Linked DNA regions of Drosophila melanogaster. The protein of the gene in region 2 interacts with the protein of the main gene of each other region in a pairwise test. Each region holds a gene or a part of one and is shown on either strand. Other genes may lie near its edges.

Evidence for each region.
Region 1: the proteins of CG13476 (region 2) and ND-B14.5A interact in a two-hybrid assay, tested with the Drosophila melanogaster proteins (one large-scale study listed by BioGRID).
Region 3: the proteins of CG13476 (region 2) and fws interact in a two-hybrid assay, tested with the Drosophila melanogaster proteins (one large-scale study listed by BioGRID).
Region 4: the proteins of CG13476 (region 2) and LpR1 interact in a two-hybrid assay, tested with the Drosophila melanogaster proteins (one large-scale study listed by BioGRID).

The regions. Positions count from the first base shown.
Region 1 is NC_004354.4:2,170,852-2,178,568, reverse strand, and holds ND-B14.5A (NADH dehydrogenase (ubiquinone) B14.5 A subunit), read right to left. Parts: upstream 6,044-7,717; 5' UTR 5,927-6,043; coding exon 5,864-5,926; intron 5,764-5,863; coding exon 5,515-5,763; 3' UTR 5,137-5,514; downstream 1-5,136. Other genes in the region: Cyp4d2 (cytochrome P450 4d2), read right to left, coding at 1-232, 289-848, 906-975, 1,032-1,418, 1,506-1,662; Cyp4d14 (cytochrome P450 4d14), read left to right, coding at 3,333-3,504, 3,649-4,105, 4,169-5,072; CG3630 (uncharacterized protein), read right to left, coding at 6,641-7,414, 7,484-7,717.
Region 2 is NT_037436.4:14,703,882-14,706,657, forward strand, and holds CG13476 (uncharacterized protein), read left to right. Parts: upstream 1-1,582; 5' UTR 1,583-1,662; coding exon 1,663-2,112; 3' UTR 2,113-2,276; downstream 2,277-2,776.
Region 3 is NT_033779.5:17,473,306-17,482,984, forward strand, and holds fws (four way stop), read right to left. Parts: upstream 7,725-9,679; 5' UTR 7,664-7,724; exon of another isoform or gene 7,615-7,663; 5' UTR 7,597-7,614; coding exon 6,991-7,596; intron 6,938-6,990; coding exon 5,867-6,937; intron 5,809-5,866; coding exon 5,230-5,808; 3' UTR 5,137-5,229; downstream 1-5,136. Other genes in the region: Sgt (small glutamine-rich tetratricopeptide containing protein), read left to right, coding at 283-1,278; cass (cassowary), read right to left, coding at 2,283-2,537, 2,605-2,791, 2,854-3,056, 3,112-3,312, 3,388-3,921, 4,094-4,255, 4,344-4,412; Lamtor3 (late endosomal/lysosomal adaptor, MAPK and MTOR activator 3), read left to right, coding at 8,029-8,072, 8,151-8,481; GCS2beta (glucosidase 2 beta subunit), read right to left, coding at 9,142-9,679. UniProt on the Drosophila melanogaster protein: Required for normal Golgi function and necessary during spermatogenesis. Required for cleavage furrow ingression during cytokinesis in dividing spermatocytes and for the extensive polarized cell growth that accompanies spermatid elongation.
Region 4 is NT_033777.3:25,754,881-25,764,126, forward strand, and holds the start of LpR1 (lipophorin receptor 1), read right to left. Parts: upstream 5,443-9,246; 5' UTR 5,323-5,442; intron 4,406-5,322; 5' UTR 4,297-4,405; coding exon 3,912-4,296; intron 1-3,911.

The DNA.
Region 1 (7,717 bases), on a different chromosome or scaffold from region 2:
TGCCGGAGCAGCTTGCTGACGGTGCTCTTCATTTCCAGCATGGCAAACTTCTGGCCGATACAGTTTCTTGGTCCAGCGGAGAAAGGAATGTACGCATACGGATGAATCTGCGGGACATCCGCATCGAATCTTTCAGGTCGGAACTCATCGGGAGACTCGAAGTACTCAGGATCACGAAGAAGAACAAAGATGCCCATCGTAAAGTTGGTGCCTGCTGGAATATGCTTGCCACCTGACAAGAGCAATATGTTTACCTGAGATTGAAGAATCTCATATGGAACTTCTTACGTATTTCCACATCCTCGGCGAACCAGCGACCGATCATGGGCACTGGCGGGTGCAGGCGCAGCGACTCCTTAATTACGTTCTCCATAAACTTCAGCTCACCAAGATCACGAAGGGTAACTGGGCTCTTTCGATCCTCGCCGAGGACGTCGCGGATCTCCTGCTGCAGACGCTGTTGGACCTCCGGATGCCTTGAGATTTCATATAAACAGAATGAAATCGCCGAGGTAGTCGTGTCATGGCCCTCGAACATAAACGTGTCAACCTCTTCGCGGATATCCTCATCGCTCAACGGGGCGCCATCGATTGTGGACTGCAGCAGCACATCCAGCAGAGCCATCCGTCGCTTTTGGCCCAAGAAATTAACTTCCTCTTCTGGGGTTGTTTCCTTCGAGTTGTTAACCAGCGTTTCACGCCGCTCACGGATAATGTTCTCGGTAAAGTCGTGCATTACCTTGATAGCTTTGTCCTGGCGTTTAGCTTCTGTTGGCTGCGTTAGCCGGAAAATCCAGTCCACCCGCTGCCAAGCGTGGATAAAACGTTTAATCAAGATGTTGGTGACACTGTCACAAGGAAGAATTCATCAGAACTGTGGGGATTCGACCTATCATTACACTCACTCATTGACAGCCTGGACATAGGGCAGATTGGGATTTTTTTGGGCATTGATTTTTGTGCCCATTGCAGTTTCTAAACGGCGAGTATTAAGCTGTTATAAATATTTATAAGACTAATGGCAAACTCACCTGCGATTATATCCAGGGCAGTGAGACAAATCACCGGAAAGATGTTAATGGGAGTCATGCCGTCGGCGCGCGACTGAAGCTGCTCCACCATTACGGCGCTTTGTTGGTCGAATATCTCGACGAACTGTTCCAAAATCTTGAAGTGGAAGGTGGGCGTGATGATCTTTCTGCGTCCATGCCACTTCCTGCCCGTGCTCATCAGCAATCCATCGCCCAGCCAGCAGTTAAGTAGCTTGTACAGATTATTCTTGGTTATATGCTGCTGGCTGCTCAAGACGAACTCAATGTCTCGGGGATCCGTGGAGAAGACGGCCAACTGGTGGAGAATCCACACCCTGTAAAGGCGACCGTACTTGCGCTGGTTCTTCTTGACAAAGTCCATTATTTCTGCAGATTATTATTGGGAATGATTATGGATTGCAATAGATTTGGCCAGATAACAAACTGTATCGATGGGCTGGAACTCAAACTCACGTTCAGGATCTAGACCGCGATACATGAGCAGGTTGCCCAGGAAGGGAAGTGGCCGCGGACCCGGCAATATACCATTGCCCCGCCTGCGCCAGAGGAAATCCCACAGCAGCAGTGTGGCGAACGCCACCAGGAGGAGCACCCCAACAACACCCAGCATTGTGCGTCGAACGAGAAACGCCGTTCTACTGAACGATACTATAAATAATATAAGCTTCGTAATCTGAATACTAATACGCTAGCTGAAAGCTGAAAGCTGTAAGAGAGTCTGCTGTCTAAGAGAACTAAACCGCCTCAGGTAATCTGCATTCTGCAGCGGGCAGCTGGAGGTAAGAAAATCGGACGAACCATTTACGAATGGAGTTTATAGCCTTGTCACGATGACGCACAATCATTTTGTTGAGAGGTAATGCTTAGTTGGGTAATTTAAGCTAATGCCTAACCATCGTGGGTGGTATAACGAATTGGAGCTAGCCCGTTTTCATTATATGGTAAATTGGGAACTTGTAAACAAGTTCTATCAGAACATTTGAAAGGGGTATTTAAGTGATATACCCTGCTATTTCCAATTTATCATCATGAATTGTACATATGCCCGTTTATTTACTGAATAACAGTAGCTAAATCCATATCCTCTTATCACTAAGCGAACAGTGTCAAAGGTGAAGGTGAAGGTGAACTAGCCTATCGAAGATATCGTAAATTTGTGATTCACGTTCCCAGATTCATTGCCCCCACTTATATACTATTAAAAAGAGTGCAAGTTTAAGAATTTGCTTAGTAATGATTACCAGGCAGTTGAGAGCCCTTATCAATTTCACTCGTCATGCTTACCCTTAGATTGGAGGTAAACATTGGATCTCATACTGCAGTGGACAAGCCATAAAGATATCAACTCAAAATATCTGTTAACAATTTGAATAAATAGTTAGTTGAAGTCATCAATGAAACCATCGATTTGATATAATAACTCAGATATTATGTGTACAAGTTTAATATCAATCACATTTGTACCCGCTTGTCGGTTCGAGAGGTACACTATATAGATTTTTCTAGTTTGACCTGTTATGGATGGAACAGCTTCCCAGCGATGCTCTGAGTTTTCCATCTAACTTTGTAGATTTAAGAGAGCTGGGATCAACGGCAGTTTAATGCTGTGCATATTGTGCTGCATAGTTTTCAGCTTGTAAGTAGAATCGAATTTAGAAGATCAATTTGAAATCAATAATAATAAACAATTATCTCAGCATAATTTCCAGAGTCTATTAAATTTGTGGGCTTATTATCTATTTAAATATTTCCTTTTTTAGTTCCAAAAGTCCAACAAAAGCGTTCGATCTAATCAGCAGAACCAGAGTGGTTCATGTATCAATATACAGATAGCGCCATGCGAACTTTCCCAGGCCCCGCCTAAATCCCGCAACCGCCCACCTGTGTGGGCCTTATCAATCTGAACTTCCGATCGGCCCAAAGCCTTGGGTCACGATGAAGAGGCACTTTTTCCGTTTTCGTTCATCGCAGAATGTGCGCCAACGGATCTCCAAGATCCTCATGCAGATCACATAACCTGCTTAGAAATCTAACTGACATGGCAGTTGGAGGCAAGGAGAGCCCACGGACGACACACCGCCTGGTTTTGACCTCGGTCATAGTTTTTGGCCTTCGCATTGGTTTTCGGCTTCATTCCACTGATTGTGGACGCCTTATCGCAAACCACGCCGGCTACAAAACAGCCCCACCGACGAGGAAAAACAAGCAGTCGATGGCCAACGGTGCCAGTGTTAATAGATCCATCCCATTACCAACCCGGAAAACCGAAACCCAAAAAACATGTATCTAGAGCTCTTTGCGATTCTCCTGGCGACCGCTTTGGCGTGGGATTATATGCGAAAGAGGCGGCACAACAAGATGTACGCCGAGGCTGGGATACGAGGACCCAAGAGCTATCCTCTGGTTGGAAACGCTCCCTTGTTGATTAACGAGTCACCCAAGAGTAAGTCATGTACGCTAATCACACAGTTACAACAGAACATATTCCCAAGACTGCGTTCTTTCACAGTTCAGTTTTGGAAACAGTTTGATCTTAAAATCGTTGTTTTTAAAATCACAAGATGGCTAAACAAATATCAACCCTCTTCTCTTGCAGCTATCTTTGATATGCAGTTCCGACTGATTGCTGAGTTTGGTAAAAACATAAAAACGCAGATGTTGGGCGAAAGTGGCTTCATGACCGCTGATTCCAAAATGATCGAGGCGATCATGAGCAGCCAACAGACCATTCAAAAAAACAATCTTTATAGTCTGCTGGTAAATTGGCTCGGCGATGGACTGCTCATTAGCCAAGGAAAGAAGTGGTTCCGCCGCAGGAAGATCATTACACCCGCATTCCACTTTAAGATCCTCGAGGACTTTGTGGAGGTCTTTGACCAACAGAGCGCAACTATGGTCCAGAAGCTTTACGATCGGGCAGACGGCAAGACGGTGATAAACATGTTCCCGGTGGCTTGCTTGTGTGCCATGGATATCATTGCGGAAACGGCCATGGGTGTAAAAATTAATGCTCAGCTCCAGCCGCAATTTACCTACGTTCAGTCGGTCACAACGTAAGTATTATAACCTATATTAACTATCGGCGGACTTTATTCCATATGAGCACATCTTTTTAGTGCCTCTGCAATGTTAGCCGAACGCTTCATGAATCCCTTGCAGCGCTTGGATTTCACCATGAAGCTCTTCTATCCCAAATTGCTAGACAAGCTGAATGATGCCGTGAAGAACATGCACGACTTTACCAACTCGGTAATCACTGAGCGACGCGAGCTCCTACAAAAAGCCATTGCCGATGGAGGAGATGCCGACGCTGCCCTCTTGAACGATGTGGGCCAGAAGCGTCGTATGGCTCTTCTTGATGTGCTGCTGAAGTCCACCATCGATGGGGCTCCGTTGAGCAACGACGACATCCGCGAGGAGGTAGACACCTTCATGTTCGAGGGTCATGACACTACGACCAGTAGCATTGCTTTTACCTGTTATTTGCTGGCTCGACATCCTGAGGTTCAGGCTCGCGTCTTCCAGGAGGTCAGAGATGTTATCGGTGATGACAAGTCGGCTCCAGTTACTATGAAGCTACTCGGCGAGCTCAAGTACTTAGAGTGCGTGATAAAGGAGTCTCTGCGCCTGTTTCCCTCGGTGCCGATCATTGGACGCTACATTTCCCAGGACACCGTACTCGACGGCAAATTGATACCCGCCGACTCGAATGTGATCATTCTTATTTACCATGCTCAGCGCGATCCAGACTACTTCCCTGATCCGGAGAAGTTCATCCCTGATCGTTTCAGCATGGAGCGCAAGGGCGAGATCAGTCCATTCGCCTATACTCCCTTCTCAGCGGGTCCGAGAAACTGCATCGGCCAAAAGTTCGCAATGCTCGAGATGAAGAGCACCATCAGCAAAATGGTGAGACACTTTGAGTTGCTGCCTCTGGGCGAAGAAGTCCAGCCCGTACTGAACGTTATCCTGCGCTCGACCACCGGAATCAATTGTGGCCTCAAGCCGCGCGTCTATTAGGTGTTCCTGGATTGTGATTTTTTTTTTTTAACTAGTTGTAAGTGATGGGCTCTGTAAATATTTGAATAAAATACTTGTACATAATGATATCCAGTGATGGATGGTGTTTTTTCCGGCGAGTGTGATTTGGAAATAATGTGGACTGGTAAGGGGTTCTCACTTGGCCCCCCATAACTGGACATACCAATGCCCGCATTCCTGCTTCAATTTGATTCTATATTAGCTTTAACCGGCTCGTACTACAACTCAAAAAAAAATGGATGGTGATTTTTCCCGGAAGTGGGGTTTCGAAACATTGTGGGCTGGTAAGGGGCCTTTCACTTGGCCCTTCATCACTGAACATACCAATGCACGCATTTCTGCTTCAATTTGATTCTATATTAGCTTTAACCGGCTCGTACTACAACTCAAAAAAAGGCGATTCCCGCGGTGATGCGGCCCATTAATCCCAGGCATAGACCTTGCCGGGAGTGGGCAGCTTGGAAGACGGGGCCTTCGCCGCTTCCCCCTCTGCCGCCAGCTGCTTCTGCTGCTCCACCAGGTCGATGGGCGGCAGAACCTCGCGACGTCCATCCCGCTGGCAGTAGTAGTTGGCCGAGAGTAGATGCGATGGACCGTCAGGGATTTCCGGCTGTGGCTGGGTGCGATCGGCCAGTCCGTCCTCGAAGCGCAGGGCCAGGTTGTGCTCCCGCTGTAATTGGCGTCCAGATTAATCAGAGATTCACATTTTCCGTCTTATATAACTGAGAACCGAGTTCTCTGCGGTCGCTGTCCAAATGTCGGATACTCACACCCAGGAGGAAGGCCCGAATGCGCTGGATTAAAGGCGACACATCACGGCGCAGGGCAGACATTTTCCGTTTGTATTATTCTTCAAATTGAGAAACCACTGAATATTTTGGTTTTATATTTATTTGTGAGGTCCAGCCCTGTCGTCCAATCGATATCAGCTGCTTGAAATTACGAAGTATCGTTAATCGATACCCACGCCTCGTCCTCTTAACTTTGCTTTGCTGCCCTGCAATTGATATACTTATCGATAACTATCGCGAAGAAAAGTTGATATAGTAACGGCCGAATTTTTAATTAAAGATTAAAAGCAGAGAACAACTACGAGAAAGAGCACATAAAACTGCCTAGGCAATGAGTCATTTAGTTAGTTATGAAACCAGCACTTCCAATCGTTTTGAAACTAGAAAAACAGGACTTGGTTATATTGTGTCTATGTACGTGTATTTATTTTATTAGTATTTTATTGCCTTGCACGTTCCCAACTTTTGTGAGTGGGAAACCGTAGTTCATTTCCATAGAGTAATGGTTAACAAATTGAGGAAACTGGCTCCTTTGGTCGTCCATTAATAATATACAAGTAATAATAATAAATAAAAAGTTACTCTCGATTCTGTCTTCAGTGTTGTGTTGCTCTAATTGTAAATTAAACTAAGTACGCCGTAAACTAAACTACTGCAATTTAAAGCTGCCGCTTTAGTAGTTGCGAGAGTTCCTTTTAAACGATTTAAGGGGATGTTCCTTCCTTCCTTCCCAGCTAACAAGCTCCCTGTTCCGCCTTAAGCGGGCGTCGACTCTGGTTGGGATTGGGACTGGTCTGGCGAGGACTCGCTGGCCGTTCCGGGACTGGGCGCCAGCTGCTCCACGCTGACGGTGCGTACAAACTCGGCGGTGGCTTCAATCACAATTGTGGGTAAGTCATCAGCAGGTCCTGCCGGTGCAACTGCAGCGGGTGCTTCCTCCGCCTGCGGTTCGCTGGTGGTTGGTGTGGTTTCTTCTGTGGATGGTGCTTCTGTGACTATCACAGCCACGGGCGCCTGTTCGGTCACCTCTGGCTTGGCTGGCTCGATCTCAACGGTACTCGAAGCAGGAGCTGTTGCCGGTGTGGGCTCTGTAGACGGAGCTGGAACTGCTGCCATAGTGGACTCTGCCACAGGAGCAGGTTCTGCAGAAGTTGTGGGCCCAGCCACAGGCGTGACTTCTGCAGCAGGCGCAGGAACAGGTACAGGAGCCTTGGGTGCCGGCGACGCTGACTTCGACTTGGCGGACTTGCCCACAGCCGGCGAGGGAGTCCTCGACTTCAGTTTTTGTTCGTGAGCACTGCGATCCATCAGCACCGAGGTGGACTGCGGAGGCGCTGGACTAGCCGCCCTCTTGATGTCTTCAATCTTGGCCTCCATCTCACTGCGTATTTCCTTGATGGGCTTCAGCAGAAAGACGGGAACGTCATCGTCCCTCCGCTGGTACAACATCTCGCCCTCGAAGTCTACCAACTTGTGTTTGCGGGCCCGCAGCAGGATGCCCACCACCTTGTCGGATATGTAGTTATAGATCTGTAGAGTGGAAGTGACCAGTTTAGAGGGCTTTTCGAAAAATATACCAGCTGTAAACAGGACACTCACATTAAAAAGTTCGCCGAAGGGGATCACACGCATAGTGGGCTCGTCCTTGACGTCGTAGCCCTCCGAATTGATGATCTGGCAGAGCTCCAGCATCTCCTTCATCACGTGGATGTTGGCCTTCTGGCCACGCATCTCTGTAAGGCTGCCGGCCAGTGGTTTTCCATACTGATCCTTCGAGAAAGTGGGTTTCGGCGAGGCGGCGCGTCCGTCCTGGGAAAATGGATTCAGCAGCTG
Region 2 (2,776 bases):
TTTTTCATACATATTCAGGTTTATAGTGTTTATATGTAAGGTGTTTGTAGGTTCTTTATTGAGGCAAATATATATAAAAGAAAAAAAATAAATAAATAAGGTACATTTTGAACTTCACTATAAACAAAAGTCAACACGTCCTTAGTCTCTTAAATATGAATTCGACTTTAAAATCGAATAGTATTTGCAATCCACATCAGAAATAAAGTTCTCTTAATTCAGACTAACAAAAAAGATTGATGTTCTTATATATGCATTCACATAAGTTCGACATGGAAGAAAAAATAATCGGAAAATTGCCAAAGCTTCTTCCTTTTCAAAAAGTGTTCTGCATTTGTGTGGGTATAAACGTGTCCTTGTGAGTGTCTGCACTCATGCATAGAAATAAGCCGATAAAACCCTGACAATTGTGTCATGGAGTAGCGTTTTAGTTTTGGGATTGGACTTAATGCCTCTTGACTTCAATTTGCATAGTCGGCTTAGCAACGTTCGTGCAATGATTGAATGACAAATTGATAGAATTCGGCATTTACCAGTTGACAGCTAAGGAAGAGCTTTTTCCGGTCGGAGGAAACGGAAGAAAAGTTAAACCGATGATGGAGATTTCAGTTCAAATTCTGTTTGAGCATGATTTAATTATCGTGCCGGTTAAAAAGGACTTTTCATTTGCCTACAACAATGTTCACAACGAGTTGCGCCTTTTTAATTATAAAAATCAAAATTCATGAAAAGCTCTTAGAATATAGAGATATGATCTTTTAGTGTTTAAATCTCTTGAATGCGAGTATAACATAATATATATATAAATAGGCTTTTCATCATCACATATAGATGATTTAATCCTTCTTCTCCAACAAAATTTTAAGCCATTCCCAACAAAGTTGTTAAATTGTTAACAAAGCGAACATTTTCACTCAAAAAACGCCCCTATCGCATTGACTCTGACCTAGACCGCAAGCCGTTTAGATCCCGCAGGACTTCCCATTAATCCAATTAGGGCTGAACATATTTGCTTCTCATTAAAAATGAAATCCTTTGCTTTGGACCGGAATCAAGAGCTTTGACCAATTACCAAGCGTTTTTTCATTTACGTTCGCACATTCGAAATAAAAAATTAACCAGGAAGGTCGCAGATAAAGGCATTGACAGAGCAGCTTAGAAATCTCTTTGTCAGCAACTTAAATGAAAATTAAGACATCTGCTTTCATTTAGCTTAAGTGCTTATCTTGCGAAGGACGCAAAGGCAAAGGACACGTTTGCCCACAGGACAATCAATTATGAATGCAACACCGAGCACCATCAGCTTGGCAAAATAGTCTGTAATAAAAGTTAGGTTCATGAGGAGTGCGATGCTTTTGGGCGGCTAATGATGATAATTATATGTTTTAAGTGACATTGATTTGTCGCCTTCAGGATGGGCCGGGAAATTCCCATGATGTTTAATTCATTAGCCAGCTAATCGGCTTACTCTGATAATTAATATAATTGATGTCAGTCATCTTATTGTAGCGCCACCCAAGCAGGCTACTCATTCCCAGTTGCCTCTGTGTCATTTCTATGGATCTAAAATAGGTTTCCCAGTACTATTGACGCCCTGAAAGTAATCAGATATTCACACATAAAATAAATTCAAATAAAATCTGTATATTTTGTACGCTCACAATGAACATGAGGGGAATGGCCAAGCGTTCTATTTGGCTGCAATGTCTTCGGGAAAATGCCACCAATATGCGCCTGGAGCACGAGGATCTGGGACGTCGCATTGCTGTTTCTTTGGCCAGTTCCCAGAAAGCTCTAGTTGATATCGAAAACTTGAATCAAGAGCTGTTAAAAATGAAGGACACAATCCATAATGCCATTTCCAATGTTATGGGCTACGAAAAGAAGTGTTGTGAATTGCTCCTGGAAATTTTGATTAAAATAGTTGAGAACAACGACCTGGATGCCGAACTAAATCCCAAAATGATCTCCAAGGCGTTTCTCGACTTGGATCCGAGTTCCGACGAGACAGAAGTTCTGAATGACCGTAGTCTTGCAGCGTCTGATTTTAATCAGCAATATCCAAAAGATGTGCCGGATTCTATTGATATAAACATAACAGAAGACCAGTAACCATTTTAAATAGGATCCAAGACCGCACCAATTCGATTACTAACGTCTTAATTTAATGCGTTGTCAATTCCACCTCACACATTTAAAAGGAATAATAAGGTGGTCAGGGCTACAAATGTTTTATATTTTTTATCGATTCAATTAAATTTGCATGGTGAAATGACAAAACCCATTGTCTCTTTCTTCAGTTTATAGTTGTGGGAAAGTTTCTAAGACGTTCGAAATGTTAAAACCCTTGAAACGAAAAAACTTAGGATGACCATAAAAATACAAAATTATGAACAGAAAGAAAAGAGAAAAGCACGCCAACATCCGCACAAATTGTCCTGCAGAAAAGTCAAGACAAAATCACGTATACGCACTGTGACAACCCACAGCCTGGGTTAAAGACAATCCCAACTGGTAATCCAAGTCGTGTGCGTAGCCAGCATCCATGTTCCTAAACAATTTGTCGGCGATTTGTCGGCAAACTTGAGCCATATACGCCACACATACGCACCGAGTGAGCCATATTGCACATACGCCCCGTGTGACCCACAGAGGAATACAAAGAGTAACGAGGTTAAGTGACCCAACCAGCAAAACAACCTGTTGACTCAGGCTCTCTGCTCTCTCACTCAAAGCAAACTCACTCATCGGTGGGTTTGTTTTGCTCCGCTCTTTC
Region 3 (9,679 bases), on a different chromosome or scaffold from region 2:
TTCCACTACTAAGGGTATGATTTTATTTAAAATGCTTGAAGCAACAGATTTATTTTTATATAAAAATATATAATATAAATATAATTTAAGCTGAAACCAAAGTTTGTAAACAGCGTCAGCATTTCCCATACTATCAGAATGTTCGATATATGTCTCAAAAGTTATCGGGCCATGTAGCACATCGATACTCGATTTTATATTCACATTTCGCCTAATCACATTTACTTTTCAACTTGTCTGTCGATCGAAATTAAGCGAACAGAAATCTAAAGCATAACCAAAATGCCGGACGCAGTGCAGCAGAGTTTCGTGCGTAGCTTCATTGACTACCTGAAGAAGCAGGGGGACGTGATGTCGCCGGACCAGACCGAAAGCATCGAGGTGGCGATCCAGTGCCTGCAGGCGGCCTTTGACTTGGGCGATGATGTGGAGGCAGCGCCGGCTGCGGCTGGTGAGGAGCAGGCCACCACACAGAGCAGCAGCACTGCGAGCGCACCGGACGATGATGCGGTGGCCAGCGGAAGTGCTGGTATCGGCGCCGCCGCCGCCGCCGTTCCCAATAACATTGACATGTTCGAGCTCTTCCAGTCGCTGTATACAGAACGCAATCCGGAATCCCTGGCCCTGGCCGAATCCATCAAGAACGAGGGCAACCGGCTGATGAAGGAGAACAAGTACAATGAAGCACTGCTGCAGTACAATCGTGCCATCGCCTTCGATCCCAAGAATCCGATCTTCTACTGCAATCGGGCTGCGGCCCACATCCGGCTGGGTGAGAACGAACGCGCCGTAACCGATTGCAAGTCCGCCCTGGTGTACAACAACAACTACAGCAAGGCGTACTGCCGCCTGGGCGTGGCGTACTCCAACATGGGCAATTTCGAGAAGGCGGAACAGGCCTACGCCAAGGCCATCGAGCTGGAACCGGACAACGAGGTGTACAAGAGCAACCTGGAAGCGGCCAGAAACGCCAGGAACCAGCCGCCCCAAACGGGGCGATTAAGGGAAGACCTAATCAACATGCTGTCCCAGCCAATGGTTAGGAATTTGTTCAACAACGCCGAGATCGACGTGGAGCAGCTGCTGTCGATGCTTCAGAATCCAATGATCATGAACACCATTCGCCAGCAGTTCGGCGGCGGCAATGCCCCGACCCTGCCCAATGACATGGTGCAAATGATCTATAACATGACCAGCCAATTGACTGGCTTTCCCAATTCGAACGCAAATCCTGGCAATGAACAGCAGCCGGGCAATCAGCCACCACCGAGCACCTAGAAGTGGATAGAATCCCGATCCCCGATCCCTGCCTGGATCGGCGGCACACAGATTAAGTTGTTAAGCTGAAACTATAAATGTATTTATAATGTTTAAATGGCTTCTATTACGCATACATACATACATACATATACATTTTTATCCAATGGAAATAAATAAATGACCGTGCAAATTGCCGCTGTTCCAATCGAATTTTCAATGAATATTAAATATATATATTATAATGCCTCATATATTTTTCTAGTTGCCCGTCGTTAACAAAATTAAACAAGTATATCACACAGTGCATGTAATTTAATGTTGCTTTTATTGAATTCAAGAAATGTATGCTAGGGGTTTTTTTTTTGCTGATTTGCATCTCTAAATGGTACAATTGTTAATTTGATATTACATGTCAAATAAAAACTAATGGGTTTAAAACAAATGCCGATCTGTCGCAAACAGTTTGTCGCTTGAAAATCATTATCTTCAAAGCGGTCAACTTGAAAGTAGGTTTTATATTGATATTCGTTCACTTGGTTATTGGTATAATCTTATATTTATGCGTTTGACAGAATTGAAGGTAAAAACAGGAGTGATATAAATTTCAAACAATGCCAGCGCCTTTCTTTTGGGAAATGTATGAAAAGAAGGCGTGGCGTGTTTTGGAAAATTGCACAAGTACTTTAGCGAAAACAAATGTTATAACGAAAATAATAAAAGCAATGCGTGAGTGTATGAGTAAAATGGATGTAAAAATGTTGCATTTAATTTCCATGAAAATATGTTGCGCTGAAAGGAGACAAAGGGGAGAAAGTTAAATGAAAATTGCACGGAATACTCACCACTTTCGTTTTGTTTCCTTTAAAATTGCTTGGCTGCAGCATCGCAACAGTTGTGTTTATTCTGCTCGCATCCAATATCTTGTTTTTGTTTTTTTTTTTTTTGTATGTCTACGGACTAGGGACAAACCATTCAAGTGAAGTGTTCTTTGCTGCTCTTCTGCCTCACGATTGATTCTTTACTTAGTACTTGTTGAATCGCCTGTTTCTGTAGCCTCCACCGCTGCCGCCACCGCCGCCGCCGCCACGTTGTCTCGTGCGATTGTTGTTTCCGTAGCTCTGGTTGACCTTGTTGGAGTATTTTCCAGATGGCGGCGAGTAAAACTTCTGATCGTTGGATGGCCGCGATTTCTTCTCTGGCTCCTGATCCTTATCCTTGCCGTTAGCAGCGGCTTTCTCCCCAAAAGTGATGGGTGCATGACGCTTGCCCAGCTTGTTCTGAACGCACAAGAATATTGCATTGTTTATAAATATATCAGCTGTAAGAGATAACTTGTGTGCTTACATTTTTTGGCACAATCCAGGAGAGCACAATGTCATGTTTGAATATGGGCGGTGAATGAAATAGATCCCGGATCAGAATGTTGATGTTTGATGTCGTCTTCAGTGCCGTCTGCTTCAGTTGGTTCTCCTCCGTTTTGAGCTCCTCTCCCGTCTTGCCTTTGAGCGACTCCTCCAGTTTCTTAATATAACTACAAGGCAAGTATTATAAAATAAATTATGTAAACAGAATAAAATTTTTGCAAGAACCTACCCCTGTGTTCCCCTTGCAAGATATTGCAATCTAGCTCGAAAGTCTTTTAGTTTCTCTGCATCCTCGACGAAACTTAAACTATTTGGATGATTTTTTCCAAGAGTGTGCAATGCGTACAGTAAGCACTCGGCGTGCGAAAACTGAAACGAGGGCGGTGTATCTCCCAGATCCTCGTCACTCAGCTTTGGCAAAGGCATGTATTCCTGGAAATTGTTTACATGTTATTCGCTCAATTTCGAATGTACCAAGTACACTTACCAGCAATACATTGTAGACTGCATTAATCCGTTCGCTGGCATTGTCCAGCTTGTCTGTGTTGGTTATCATCTCGGCGAATACCTTTAGTAATCTAAGTTGGATTTGATCTTGCGAAACTGCAGTGGCGATCATGTTCCAGGTCTTGATGGGCAACAGTTTATCGCAAACGTGAGCCACGAAGGCCGTGGATTTGATGGTTTTCTATAGGAATGGCAAGAGATTCGATTTAAATGCTCGCCAGGGGTTCGATTTCATGTGCAGCTATTGGAAACTTACCGAAAAGTAAGGAGCCGCAGCAGAGGCGCACTGAATGAATCGCTCCACCACCTCGTCGTCGACGGCTATGATGTCCGCGTCTGTGTTATTTAGCTCCGCCTGCTCCGTGGCCAGCTTGACGAGCTCGGCGTGTCCCGTGATGGTGCTTCCCAGTTTGGTGGCTCCCAGAATTGTCATGCACAGATGAAACTCATCGGCAGTGACATCCTGCAAAGCCTTTTTGATCTCCTCCACGATATAGTCCTCGATTTCCTTGGTAATAACTGTGGGACCCATGGTCAGCAGCTTGGTGGCAATGAACTTGAGGCAGCGCTCCCTTGTCGTTTCATCCCCAGTGGAGATTTGCTGAAACAATCCGGCGATGGAGCTCTTGGTGTCCAATTTTATGATGGCCAGCAGTGAGTTGTTGACCTGCTGGAGTTCTGTGGGATCGTCCAGGATTAACAGCTGGGCCAGAGTATCACCCACTCGGATGGTAGCATCTGCGTTTCCCTGGCACAGTTTCGGCAGATCTTTGATGGCCTGGCGGCGGATCTACAAGGATGATAAAGATATTTAGTTTGTGGAATATGTGGGATATCTTAAGCTGTCAAGATACGGAGCAGGATTACAGGGGATTTCGATTTATTTACACACATCAGCTGCATACAGGCCAAAAATTCCGAGCCTATTGTATCAGCTGGGTAACTTTATGGCACCCACTCACCTGTGTGTCGTCATCCTCGCACAAATCAAACTGCGCGTCTATGGCTGTGTCGGCCAAATCCGGAAAGTGTTTGAAGAAGTTACCAATGAACTGCGATGCCAGGCGCTTCTCCTTCGACGTGCCCTTCACGGCCTTGAGTATCTCTTTATATTCATCCACATGCTGCAATTCGAAAAAAACATGCATATATATATTAGACCATGTATCATATACCGTTTTTTTTTCGGCACGTTTTGCAATGGCGGCATACTTCGGATATTTTATCGCCCGCCTCGGACAGAATCTCGTAGCATTTGTACAGTCGCTCTATGTTGTCCATCTTCTTGGCCAGTGGTACGCACTATATTTGCAGAGGTTTCAAGCGTCTATAGTTTACTTTACACAGTTTTCGTTGCAGTTAAATTGGATGACAGCGTTTCTCAAATGAGAGTTTTTCACGTTGCAAACAAAATGGTGAGCACGGGGGAGTGACCAGATCTCGAGACAGTAAAAACCCAGATGGATATCGATATACCGTTGGGAAAAATTTGTACTACCGTTATTCAGAATACACATCGATAGTTAGAACAAGTTATTAGTACCGTTATTCTGAATACGCATCGATAGTTTAAAAAAGTTATTACTACCGTTGTTTTGAATGCCTATTTCAAATCGATATAAATGTGAAAAATATATAAATACCGATATTCCGGAGGAACTATTTCCAAACGATGTAGTGATATATTTTTATTTGAAATCCTCTTAATGTTAATGACGAATAAGTAAGAATTATTCTTTTAATACGAAACATCTTCCAAAATGTGTCTTTTGAGTAAGTACCAGTATCATTTATATTAACCATGGAATTCCATTTATTCATATAGCGCCAGCCAAAACTGCCTACCAAAATTAATTTAATCAAATGACAATATGACACAACCTCGCATAATTTCAATTTTAAGCCTCTAGCCTCAAGTTCTCACTGCTATCATTATTCCACTCAATAAGTTATTCTAAGAAACTCATTAGCTTCATTTAGCGGAAGGAACTGAGTACAATGATTTAATAGAAGGATGCCATGCATATGTTTATTCCAAACATATTCGTGCTCTTACATACATACATACATAGTTCTAGATACATAATACATTAGACATTTATGGAAGTGCCTTTAAGGCCTGTTCAAAATAATCTACCATCATGGGGTAAACTTCGTCGTACTGCTGAATGTTCTTTCGCCTGGCATTGTCCCGATACCGTTGCAGTGCCCCCGAGATCAGCTCTAGTTTCTCCCGTTCAGCCGTGTGCCCATCCAGCCATTCGATCAGCCGCTCATTGGACCAGTTGGCCGTCGTGTGTGGCGACTGCAGATCTGCTCCAGCGTGTCCGAAGAGCAGCAACAGCACTATGTAACTGGGCACTAGAGAGTCCTCGCCGATTGTCTGCTTGACCAGCTCCTCGGCCGTTTGGACGATCAGCAAGGACATGGCTCTTAGCAGACGCGACGGCTTTCCCAGCTCGGCGAGATTTGGGCAAAGAGGTTTCAACGCCTGTTCCATGTGTTGACAGTCTTGCTTCAAACGCTGCCTTCCGCAGGAGCTTAAAGGTCGCAGAATGCACACATTGTGCAGGAAGAGCTCAATGCAACGTTTGGCCAACTCGTGTCCGCACTTTTTCGTCATCTGCTTGTCATCGAACAGGGCGATGTGATGCGACCAGGATCGGTTGACGAACTCCTAATAGTTTGATTGAGACATATGACTAGCCAAGTATTACATTCAAATTCCCACCCACCTGCAGTTCCTTCATGTACATCGACGGACCTGTGGTAGACATCCTCTCCGAATTCAATCCCGGCTCCCTGTGCATACTCAATACAATGATGCTAATGGTCGTGATAATCGACTCCATTATCTGCTGTAGAATGGTGCCGATCAGTAAATCAGCCTGTTCCAAGGATCGGGATATAATCTCCCTAGCTGTTCCCGGTGTCTTTTCAAAGTGCACATGAAGATCACTGAGCATGCGACGCACTGAATCCTTATAGTAGAACAGAACATTCGCCAGCTGGGTGTTTTGCTGCTGCTGCAGATTGGGCAGATCCACGACCTGCTTGGAATCAGCTCCCAGCTTGATTTGAGCCTCTAGTTTTGTGCACAACTCTTTTCCACAGGCCGCAAATACATTTGCTATGGCATTCGTGAGACGGGAATCGATCAAAGCAGCACTGAGCTCCGTTGATGCCACACGAATAAAGTTGTCCACCGTTTCGTTGCCGGGCAAATCGACTCCCGCCAGACATGCCTTAAAGTTGGCAGCACACTTGCTAACGTAACCCACTTCCAGGGGAGCAAATAGTTCGTTGTCAAACTGAAACTCGCCATGCAGACGCTGCTCCAAGCCACGAGCGGAGGTCAGGAGCTTTGAGAGCCCCTCCTGAAGGGTCTGCGTAACATGCTGGGGGCATTCGTCAAAGGATTTTCGCAGGAGCTGCTGCACCTGCTGCCAAAAACGCTGCGGAATGCACTGATCCGATGATTCTGATGTATAGCCAAACTGGTTGATCTGCTCGAGAGCCGTTTTCAGCAGCTTGATTTGCGTGCAAGTCTCAAAAAGTTCATCATAGAGCAGCCAATGAAGAGACTTCCAGAACTTGGCACGGAAGTTTTGAGTGGTTGTCAACTGGGGAGTTTTTCCTGGTCCCCTCGAGGGAGCAGGTTTGCTCACATTGTGCGTCGGGGACTTGTTCAGCACAGATATATCGTTGCCAGCAAAGCACTCTTTCAGAGATTGCTCCATGTCGGCAATAAAGGTGGCCAATAGGTTATCCAGCGATTTTTCCAGCGTATTGAAATTCATAAAGATCTAAGGAATAAGAACTCTTAGGTATATGCTAGAAAAATGTTTGTTATATCCACCTTCAAGGCATTAACCACTTGGTTTTCATTGCGCTCCTGGAGCCCAGTGACCAACTGCATCTGCGTGAGGTTCCTTATCTTCTGAGCAGAGCTGATCACATAAGCTCGCTCCTGCTGGATAAAATCAATGTCCTTTAGCTCCTTATCTTCGATGAGTTGGCCCAACTCAAAGTGGATTTCGGCCAGGCGTAGGACATCCTTGGTCGCTTTTAGTTTGGCCGTGAGGCTCAGCAATGTTCCAGCCGAGCGGAGTAGGTGACTGACATCGTGCAGACGCCCTAGCACTTGCGTTTGGTTCTCCACCTGCTGGTACTGCGTGTCCACCTGGTTCTTCAGCCGGTGCCCAGTTTCCCTGACCCGCTGCACATCCTCGGCGAGCGCGTTTAAAGCCGCATCGAAGCGCCCAGCGTGGGTGGCCTGCTGCAGTAGAGCTCCGTGCTTGTCGCGCACCTGCTGGTGCAGCTCCTCCTTCGTGTTCTGCAGTTGCTTGGACAGCTCCTGGATTTGCTGGCCAATGGTCAGGTGCGACATGGATGCGGTAAAGTCATTATCATCCGAATCCGCTGCGTTTGGGGTCTTTGTCGCTACCGGGTCTCCAGTCACCATGATGCAGAAGGTTTTAATCTATGGTAATACGAATTATAAGCTGGTATTACACTTTTATTTCCATTACTTGCAGCAATTTTACGTATTGCAAACAAACTGTTTTTCCACGCAACCAAAAACAGGCTGTAATCGATAAATTTCCAGTTGAGCGGGGATTGAATTTTTTGAAGGGGTTTCTAAAAAACTATATAAAGTATTGCGTGATAGCTTAATAATATAATATTTAAATAATAATGTTAAAAACTAGCCGCATCCTTTTTCCGCTTGCTGAAAATATTTTACTTCGACCGCCGACTACGCCCCTGCCACATGAACTTATCGATAACTTGAGGCAGCTGTTGCTCACTTTGTTTTGTGTAAATAATTGGATGCGGAGAAAAACGTATTATTATTGCCATACCTTCTCTAGTCTTTCGCTTTAACAAATTTTCCATGTCGGACGACATCAAGAAGTATTTAGACGGCCTGCTGCAAAAGTAAATATTCCACAGGAAAGGCTGTTCCCAATATGATTAACTTATAATTTTTCCCCCATTCCCCGATTTACACAAAAGGGTCAGCGGGCTGTACGTTATTCAGATTACGGATCGCGACGGAGTGCCCCTCCTGCGGGTTAGCCAGGAGAAGAACGTGGACTTCGCCCTGATGCCCTCGTTCATACCCACATTCACCACCGCCTGCGATCAGGCCAGCAAACTGGGATTGGGCAGAAACAAGACCATCATCTCCATGTACTCCAATTACCAGGTGGTCCAGATGAACAAGCTGCCGCTCATCCTGACCTTTGTGGGCGCGGAGAACTGTAACACGGGACACATTCTCGCACTGGAGCACCAGGTCGATGGCTATTTGGAGGACATTAAACAGGCTGTCACCGAGGCCTAAAGTTAGTCTACCTTGTAATATGCATATTTTTAATATTTACTAAATGTTTATACATACATACTTTATTGAGAACAGAATGAGTTTTTAAAAATCTCAACTCACCATTGTACTATTCCGGGAATTTATTTCATATCCTGCGAAGGGTGATCTCAAAGATGAACAAAGTTCCGAGTCCTCCGTTTTGGCAACAATATCAAATATGCAAACTATTGACACTTTATTTAAAATGAAAAATTCTTGCTGCCTAAAATGTGTACATTCAATTAAATTTCTTCATATAGTTTCTCAATTATAATATACTTTTCCCTATACCTTGAAATCGTCTGTGCTCAAGTATCACGAAAGTAAAATATTTGTATGTTTGAGCTCAAGGAAACCGACTTTAAATCAACATTTTCATTCAGTGATGTTATCTGTTTTAAAAATACTAGGTGTTTACACTTTATTCAGAATGAAACTTGATGTACTTTTTGCTTAAATGCATATACTGAGTTAATTAGCTACAATTCTTGATGGTTTTCCTGCTGCAGTTTGGGAATGATCTCGACAAAATTGATATTCTCCTTTAAAACTAAAATACAATCCCCAAATCTCTGGTCTACGCATGCCAAGCATTCACATTTCTCTGCGGCTCATCCTCATCGTCGATTGTTGAACATTTCAGAGTTCGTCGTGCAGATTCTCCGATTCGGACTGGAAAGCTTCGCTGTCGCAGGCGGCGGGAGTTTCGAATTCAAAGTAGTATTCACAGCGATTGGGCTCGCTGACGGCAGTGATTTTGGGTTCCAGGGCACAACTAATGTTGATGATGGCCGAACGGTTTGGACCATTCCAGCAGGCAGCACCATTGGTGTACTTTTGTTGGGAATATTGCTTTGGCTCTCCACTCCATTTGTCCCAGCGACCCAGCGTGGTTTCAGGCCCACCGCTCCTCGACTTCTGGGAGGCCCGATCGAAGGGACAAAGGGTGTACACATACTCCCGATCTTCGAAATTGTAGCACTGGCCATCGTGCACGGCCCACTCCTCGGTCAGGCCGTAGCCCTTGTTGTTCTGGTCGTCGATCTCGTTAACCTCCTGCTGAATCTCGCGCAGGCTGCGCTCCACTTCCTCGAGAGCATTTCGCGCCTCATTGGCCTGCTGGATCAAACGCTGCGTCTCCGGATCGTAGTTAGGTGGCGTGGCTTCTTCCGCATCC
Region 4 (9,246 bases), on a different chromosome or scaffold from region 2:
CGAAACAAGCCATCAGACAGACGGCCAGAAAACCCAAGGAATGTCAACAGTTTTACACAGAGAAAAATAGCGAATGTTTATTATAATGTAATATGTAGCTCAAAAAAAAAATTAATAATGGGAAAGCGTTCATATAAGTATATAATACTTAGGATAAATTTTATTTCATTATTTTTTTAAATTGACTTATGCCTTTTTGGTGGACTATTTCTTCATTTTCTTAGTGTAAGAACGTAAAACAAAATGTGACACATGAAAAAAATGAATTTAATAGATTGCCATTGAACAAACAGAGGGCCAGCAAAAAGCGATAATAATGAAGGAGGCAATATTGAAGTGGAGCCGTGCGTGTGGCAAAATAAACAATGGGATATCTCCGATTTGCAGCCGTCAATCAATAAGGTCAAATCAATTCGATTTCATGTCGCCGCGCTGGCTGGTCGGGAATTGTTTTCAATTATACATGATGACAGTCAACAAAATGGCAAATTATAATTCGAGCAAATGCATGCATATATGTATTTATGGGGCAGATGGGGGAATTTCGTTGAAATAATTCCAAATGACGTCAAGCATGACGATGAATGAGTTCCTTTGCCTTATGCGGCGGGTGTTTGAATGAAAAAGTACAAAAATAAATATTAGCTTGCGGCTCACAGAAGGATTTTGAATAGGATAATGAAAAAATAATAATATGGAGGTTCTACGAGTAGAAATAGGCAAACAGAAATAAGTACTTATAAATTGTGACCCTGAACGCGCCTTTAAATAAATTAGCATAGCTTGAGATTGATAAGGGTTTTTCTTGGAAGAATTTTGCTAAACTTTGCTAGAAAACTCAAGATGAATTCAGAAAACATCCTTGAAAAGTGATTTAAACCGTCAGTTTGCACATCAATTAACCCACTAATAGATTTTCCAGCCGGTTGCCACCTATCAATTAAGTTCCTTTGCTTTCTTGTCACAATCTAAACCTATTGAGTTTGACTAAATTGAACCAGTCGGTGGTTATTGATTACCGAGTTTCCGTAATGAGGCGGACACACCCCACAGATCGAAAAACCAGATCAATATCACCATTATGGGCAACAACAGCCTGTCTGCCGCCAACTTCGGCCAAACTTCACACACAATACGAGACTATGAATAAATAAACCATATCGATAGGCAAACTGCTTAGCATAGCTAATGATTTTGTTAATCGTAGAGGCGAAAACAAGTCCACACACAATCCGGTTGGCTTAACCCAATAAACTTCACTTCGCCGCTCGAAAATCAGAAACTGCAAGTTGTCATCATCATACGATTATTTTTTAGTATATAACAAAAACAAAAATAAAAAGCAATAGACACAGCGTGCCAAAAAATTGCTGATAAGCCCTTATCACATGGTCATATTAGACTAAGAAGTAATCATAACTGTGGGAAAAACTGATATGACTATATTGGTTGAGCAAGGTGTTAATTGCTGGGAAAAAAACGAAATCAGTTCATTATTTTCTTTTTCCCCGATTTAACACTAATTAATATTAATTCAACTGGGAGCACAGCCTTTGATAAACTCAGCGCCCCGATTGCGTCAAAATCAAGGTTAATGGATTACCTGATAATTGATAATTGCCTGAATGAATTTAATGTTATACATGGAATGACAAAACACGTGATTCCTGGGGGATGCGGCCCGTATAGAGAATGATTTGATGCATCAACAATTTCCCAAGAATAGTTGAATCAATCAAAACATGTTTACAGTAAGCAAACAAAACAATTAAACTGCATCAACATTCTCTCTACGTAAGATGAGCACGCCCACTATTAATTTGTTATTGTTTGTTTGCCATCGGTTCTGGCACCAGCTAGTTCTATATGCTAGAGAAATCTGTTGGCACAGCGAATAAATTAAAAACTGAATCGAAATGGGGCGTACGAATAAAAATTGAATCAACTTCTGCCTCTCTTCGGCGACCTTGCCACATCGCATATAGATGCGAACATATACATATGCACAAACAAACATACATATGTACATATATCATATCAAGCATATGTTAATTTATCTGACAGCAACTTTCAAGCGTGAAAAATCAAATGGAATTAACAATAAGTCAGCAGGGAAAAAGAGAATATCAAAGAGATAATGCCCCTTGATGGGCAGCATTACAACGCAAATCGACTGAGAATTGGGGGCTCGACTCGGTCTATATTTATGTGAATTTTCCTAGTACACTGCATACTGAAAAGCCAAAAAAAAAAAAATTATATTTAAATTTAAATTAGGCATCGCAGTAGGATGGCGCACCGATTTTCTGAACTACGTCAATTTCTGATACAAATATCTCTGAAATGCGCCTTGTTTTTTTGTGAGATGTTTAAGAAAATGTGTGTTTTTTTTTGTCAACAATTTATAATATATAGAGCAAAGTCCAAGATTCCCAAGAGCAAAGTACAAAAATGCAAGTAAATGTGGCAGATTTAGCCTTAAGACTATTTTTTGGCACTCAATATGTTGATTGATTTTCAAAAGTGCGAACTGCTTAAAAAATTTAGCTATTTAAAAATAGTTTCAAACCAAAATGTGTGAACAATAAAAATAAATTATTTTGGTTAGGATAACTGCTCTAATACGTCTTAAAAATTAAATATTAATTTATAACAATCGTAGTTTTCACACTTCATATTCTTTTATCTATATGTTTTCAAGATCATTTGAATGACTTATGGCACCAATTCAAAGCTCCTTGCACTATCAATCCATTAATTCTTGATTTATAGAAGGAAATTTCTATTGTCTGACTGCCCTTTATTGTCCACTTATCTTCAAGTCGCGAAATCCCGGCGGTCGAAAAATGCATAAAAACAAATCGTAAAATTGACCGATAAGATAATCCCCAGTTCGGGGCTAGCACTAAACGTAAATCCATATTGGCCAAAACAGGTGGCTAGATTTAAAGTTAGATTTATGATTGGAATGCCCCGCGCCACAAAATAACGTCACAGATAGACGCCAAACGCTTTTCCTATCGCTTAGCCATTAGAAGATACAGATTCTCGATGGTCAGCCAGGCGGAAATCAATGCGGAAGTGGATAAAAAATTCTCGGCTATTTCGATACCACGGTAACAGTAGGTCCGCATACCGTCTGTGTGTGTGCAACAAGTGGAAGGTGCACTTTTGTATCTGTATCTGCAACTGCATTAGTGCTTGTATCTGTATCTTTTTAACTGAGCCCATTTTAAGTGCACGAAGTGTGAAGTGAGCAAAGCCATTTGAATGACTCGACATGCAGGTGATACCCTTGTGACCAAGATTGTGATGATTATAAATTAAGCAGTATAATGGAAAGGCCATATATCTTAAATGTTATTATTGACTCATATAAGTCAAAACTGCTTACTTTCCATTCAAAGAGGATTGCTTGGAGTTGCGAAGATAATGTAATATTTTGAAATAATCGTTTACATTGCTCAATGGCTTGGGGATAATTTAATAACTAAATACTCAAACACTATCAGCTTAATAAAGTTTAATGAAAAGCTTCTTAGCATTGGTTGATAATTCTTTAACGATTAAATTGTAATTCGATTGCACGCGCTTTAATTTTAAGTTATCAGCTCAAGCTAAGTACTTTACTTTGTTCTACAACGCAGTTATTAATACAAATTTTTTTTCATTTTACATATTTGTAAATAGGCATCAAGTTGAAAAGATTAAATGAATCATTTTATATATACCCCAAGCCAGGGTATCCAAACTTCATTTTCGACTTCAACCTCGACGACATCTGTGGTCTAAAATTAGCACAAGCTAGGCTATAAACAAACATCGCACTTTGTGCCCCCCCTTGTGCGATCTTTTTTTCTGGTTTTTCGCTATTTTCGCCGGTTTTTTCAATCAGCCAATGCATTTCTCACCTATGCCGAGGGGTGTGCCAATCTTTCCGGAAACGTTGAGGAACTTGAATCCCATGTTGATGAAGGCTTTGCCATCGATCACCTTGCTCAGCGATCCGCTCTCGTCCAGCGTTTGTGGATTATGTGGGCTAACTGCCGAGGTGGGCGTGTTCGTTGAGGGCGTGTTCAGCGGCGTGGGCGTGGCAGTGCAGCATTTGCCGAATCCGAGCATTAAAGTCAGGAGCAGGAGATTGAAGTTGGCGCATGCGCAGCGGAACAGCTGTTCGGCGCGTCTTTTCTCGCCGAGATTACCGAATGTTACTGGAGATTTTGAGCTTGTGGTTGATTTTATGGCGGTTTTTGTGGTTTCACTTGCAGTGCTCGTAGAGCGTGACTCTATGGCCATGGTACGGTATTTTGCTTGCCTTCACTCTTCTTTTGCTTTAATTTATGCTGTCTGTTTAATGCTTTTTTCACACTTTTATCACTTCGATCTTACAAGGTTTGTATAGACACTGTATTCGATAGGGGAAAATTAAGTGGGGTGATTTCTGGTGACCCTGGTTGAATAGATTATCTAAGCAGGAAGCGTGAGATCTTCGCCAGAGATTATCTAATCAGAGAAATGGCCAAAAGAACCAGCGTCAACGTAAAAATAAACGCAAGCATTAACGCAAAAACATTGGAAGAATCGCTTGCCAGCCAAAAAATAAAATAAACACACGATCCGGCCAATTCTCTTTTACTTTCGTCTCTCTTCACATTTCTTATTTCGAGATGAGAAGACTGAAGAAACTGGTTGAAAATCGTGCGACACACAAAAACGCGACGTAGCTAAAAAAAAATACAAAAACCGAAAAGGCCGAAAAAAAAAAATTTAAGCAAAAATATCGGACAACAACAAAATCACCGAAAAATGCGAAGAGAGAAAAAAAGCAACGCATAAAATTACACAGAAAATTCATTTATATATTAAACTTTGAAAATAATTATATATGTACTTAACGAGAAATAACATTTATTTTGAGTAAAATATGGAAATTATAAACGATAAGTAAAATATTTGATAATAATTGTATATTAGCAAGAAAAACAAGTTTTCCCTTAATTTTTATAGAGAAACAAAAACGTTTCTGTTGACGTTGGCAATTAATAAAGCCGAAGTATAATTTAAAATTTAGTTGAGCGGACGGCCACGCCCCCTCCGATCGCGCAAATAAATTAATTAAATATTGTTGTTGCCGATATTTGTAGCTAGCACGCGTCAAATCGCCCGGATAAATAAACTCTTATCAGTTTTGCCTTTTATTTTGATTTATTTTTGCGGTATTTTCAAGGTGTCTGCGAATGTGCGGCACGTGCTAATCGCGTCTTTCCAAATTTATTTCAGAAACAGATCATTGCATTTAAATCTGTAGAATGTTTGAATTACATGAGGTTTGTTTTTATTTCGCTTTGTTTGTTTCTTTTGTGTTTTTTATTTGGTTTTTAAGTTGAAAATAAACCGCAAAAAACTGTGATGCCCGTTTCGCACAACGCGCCTTTTTCAACTGAATTCGCTTAGAGAATTGGCCTGCAAATTTAAGCGAATCGCCAGCGATTTTAATTCGAGAGCCGAGAGTAACTGTCGTTTGCGATTGTGCTTGTTTTTGCACCGTCTTAAGGTGGCCTTATCAAAACTGACAAGAAACTGACCAGACCCCGTCGAAGAGATACATAAAGAGTGATCTGGCAGATCGGAGCACTCTCTGAATTTAATCGATGCTGTATTCCACTCTTAGCTCCCCAAAAGATTACTAACGTACAAGGTGCTCTTAAGGCAAACCAGTTGATCAGTGATCAATGGAGCGTACGTTGATGTGAATGGATAGATTGGGCAAGGAATCGTTGGGCGATCTATAGATACAACTATTACAGAAGCATTGTTTAAAAACTACAAGAATTTTAAATGCTTCTTCAACTGAGATAATTTATTTAAAAAACAAAAGCAACATGCTAACGAATCCCAGCTATTAAGAATCGATCAATCATTTCTTAAGTTATAAACCTACGCCTTAGAAATTAAAGTATTTTTTATGATAAGGGATCATACTACTTTCGGAATATTGCGACTGATTTCACAACTAGACAGAATTCCGTGGAAATATATTGAATAAGTAGTGATAATTATCTTGTCGTAATGCCAAGAATCCACTTTAATTTAAAAATACGTTTTGTTATTTTATACTCAAGTTGGGCAAATATCCCCTGAGAAAGAAAAAGAAGGACTCAAGTGCTAACTTGAGAATGATGTTTGCGAACCAACAAAGGTTATATAGGGTAATCGCACAAAGTGTACTTAGATGTACATGTAATTGGTCAGCCAATTATTCAATCTGATATTAAAGTCTAATTAAAAATAAGTGGTTAAGGGCTCCGAATTAAGAGCAGTTTCAGACCTCGGAAAAAATCCTATTTTCTACAGTACCAACCTGAATGTAAGGAAAACGCCAAGGAGATCACAATCAGCACACAGAGATCACTTTTAAACATCGTACTGTACGAAAATACGTTTTTCAGACTGTATGTATCTAGACTTCCTTTTTGCGTTGCCACCGCGTTTATCAGTGCGAAAAACAAAGATATTTTTTAATTAAGCTGGACAACCGGACGTGAGAATTGTGCCGATAATCGTACGACAGTCGTGACGTTCTGCATGGGCCCACCGAAACTATATCCAGGTATCAAATAGGTATTTTGAATATACTTAATTCTTTTGATTTTTTTTTGGGACCCGGAAGGTTTTACGGTGTGATGCCCAGCGAAGACCGATGCGAACTGAAATGCCTTTCGGCGATTGGTAAACGGAATCGCAGCTCATTAGCATTGAAAGTGTCGCCGCTTTCAATCAAACCAGGTGTGGGTCCGATTGAAAGTGGTGTGAAATTCGAAATTGAACTGGAGTGTCGTGGATTTGATTTCATTGGCTTTTGGCTTGGTTAGAGTTGCGTTGACTGACGTCGATGATAAGAGGCGGTGAAAAATCGCAGCCAGCGGACAATGGGTTCGGTTAGGGTCAGTCATTTAAAATGCGTCATCTTCAAAACAATTATCGGCACTAGCAGCATCCCAGTACCAATGGAAATCTCAATCAAACCCGCAATCACAATCACCATCATATCAGCCATTAGATTGCATTGCAATCACCATCGTCATCGGTGCTTGGGCGTCATCTGCATTTGTCATGGATTCTCCGGCGTAACGGTCCACTTGAAATGGGCATAATTTATGATTTGCGCGTGTAAATCATTTTTCAAGCACCACCCCGCGATGCTTGTGAATGACAGAGCCGTCGGAAAACCCCCACCAAACCAACGCCCCTGCCAACCATTCTGTATATTTTGCAGTGCGCCGCCGTCTCTAATTGCAGGCGTTGGAAATCGCTGGCGAATCGCTCGCAAATCGCCTAATCAAGCACTTCAATTGACACTGCATTTTATCGCCCTGCAGCCCCGTGCCGTGTGTTCAAGTTTTGTCGAGTGTGAGTTTAGGAAAACATATGTACATATATATATACACCAATACATACATATGTGTCTATTGTGGTTTTGGCAGGCGTGAAGGGCCAGCCCATCTATCAACTATCGCTTGGCCAGATAATGATCAGTGTTCTTTAATCTTTAAGTGGCCTGACTGTAATCGCTATTTTCGGATACCGAAACAGGAGTCCCTTGGCTATATAATTTAAATATAAGAAATATTTTAAAAAAATCGAATTAAGCGAGCAGAAATATTAATAACCATCGCAACATAAAAAACTAATTAGTTTTAGAAATAAACGATCATAAAAGTTGTCGTATTTATTGAAAATTCATGATAATTAGGTAAGACTGTAGTTCCACTTGAACTAAATTAATATTTTAAGTGCATTGATCGAGTAATTCCAAAGCGGAAATTCTGACTTAAGTCTTTATCAAATTAAGCCCAAATTCCATACGCCCTTTCTACACTTTCAACACCAGGGCATTATACGAGCAGTTGGGAATTACATGACCCAATGTTTGCTGTTGTTATGGCAAAAGTCTCGATTTGGTCTACGTATAGACAATGTCTGAAGATCTCAACTCGGTGGCGTCTACACCTCATTTGTGGTAGGTCTAATTGAACTTTGCTGCGATTTTCCAGGGAATTCGTTAGTATTGTTTGCACTGATATACACTGATTATTATTTTGTTTGCGTTATGAACACTTTGTGTGGTCCTTGCACTTCACAGTTCATATTATGCATTGTATCTTCATTATTTTATTTCTTAACACTTTGTTGGTTCCGATCCACTCGACTATCGACGCGGTTCTGAAAGTTCGTCGTTGGTTTTTTTTGTGTAGTGGATATGAAGTGTCTGTCTCTTTACCATTTCCAATCACATCACCCCATAGGGGGTTGCTTTAATTACCTATTACCATATTTGGCTAATTAACATAGTGCAGTGAGTTTGATTAAAAAAACGTCAAACGCATTAGGTAGAAACGAAAAGTTTTCCACGCGTTTCTTTTTACATGCTTTTTTTCTTAGATAAGAATTTTAGAAATAGTTTTTCAACATTTTTACATATATTCTCACTTTTTAAATACTTTGTGAAAATTTTAACAAGCAAATATATTTTTCTATGATCGTATGGAAGTAACAGTGGCGCGGATGTTATCGAAAATTCAAATGGAATATATTTTCGAAAGTCGCGCGCGATTGGAAAAAGTCTTCGAATCCGAATGTAAACAGCGAATGAATGAGCGAAGAAGTAACGGTAAATTTCACATGTGCCAAATGACAATAGAAGTCGCCGACGCAGCAGCCTCTGCCACAGCCGGCGTCGCAGTCGCAGCGACCGCGGCGCATTAGCAGAGGTTTTCCCACCAAACGAAACAGTTGTGGATGCTGCTGGAAAAGCGCTGTTAAGCCACTGCTAACCGCTTAACAGTGAGTGTTGCGCAGCGGCGACGTCAGCGTTATCGCTCATAAACGTCATTCAATGGCCATATCTTTATGGGCGCTACTGCTTCGGGGTATTCGACTATGTGTGTGTGTGTTTGTCTGCCCAGCGAAGCGTTGCTAAATATGAAAACATAAAAATTAATGTTATATTTATAGTGTGGCAGCAAAAGTTGCGGCAGGAGGCGTTGCGGTCGCTGCAGGGCAGCAACAACCATACAAGCAGCACCACCAGCAAAATCAAAAGTAGTAACAGAAGCAAAAGGAGTAGGTACACTGAGCGAAAGTTATGTAACTTATTAGCTGAAAGATACTTTTGTACTGCTGAGATGCATTTGTATCCAAAAGATACTTTGTATTAACAAGTCTGTGGTAAGTTTTTGAAATCGT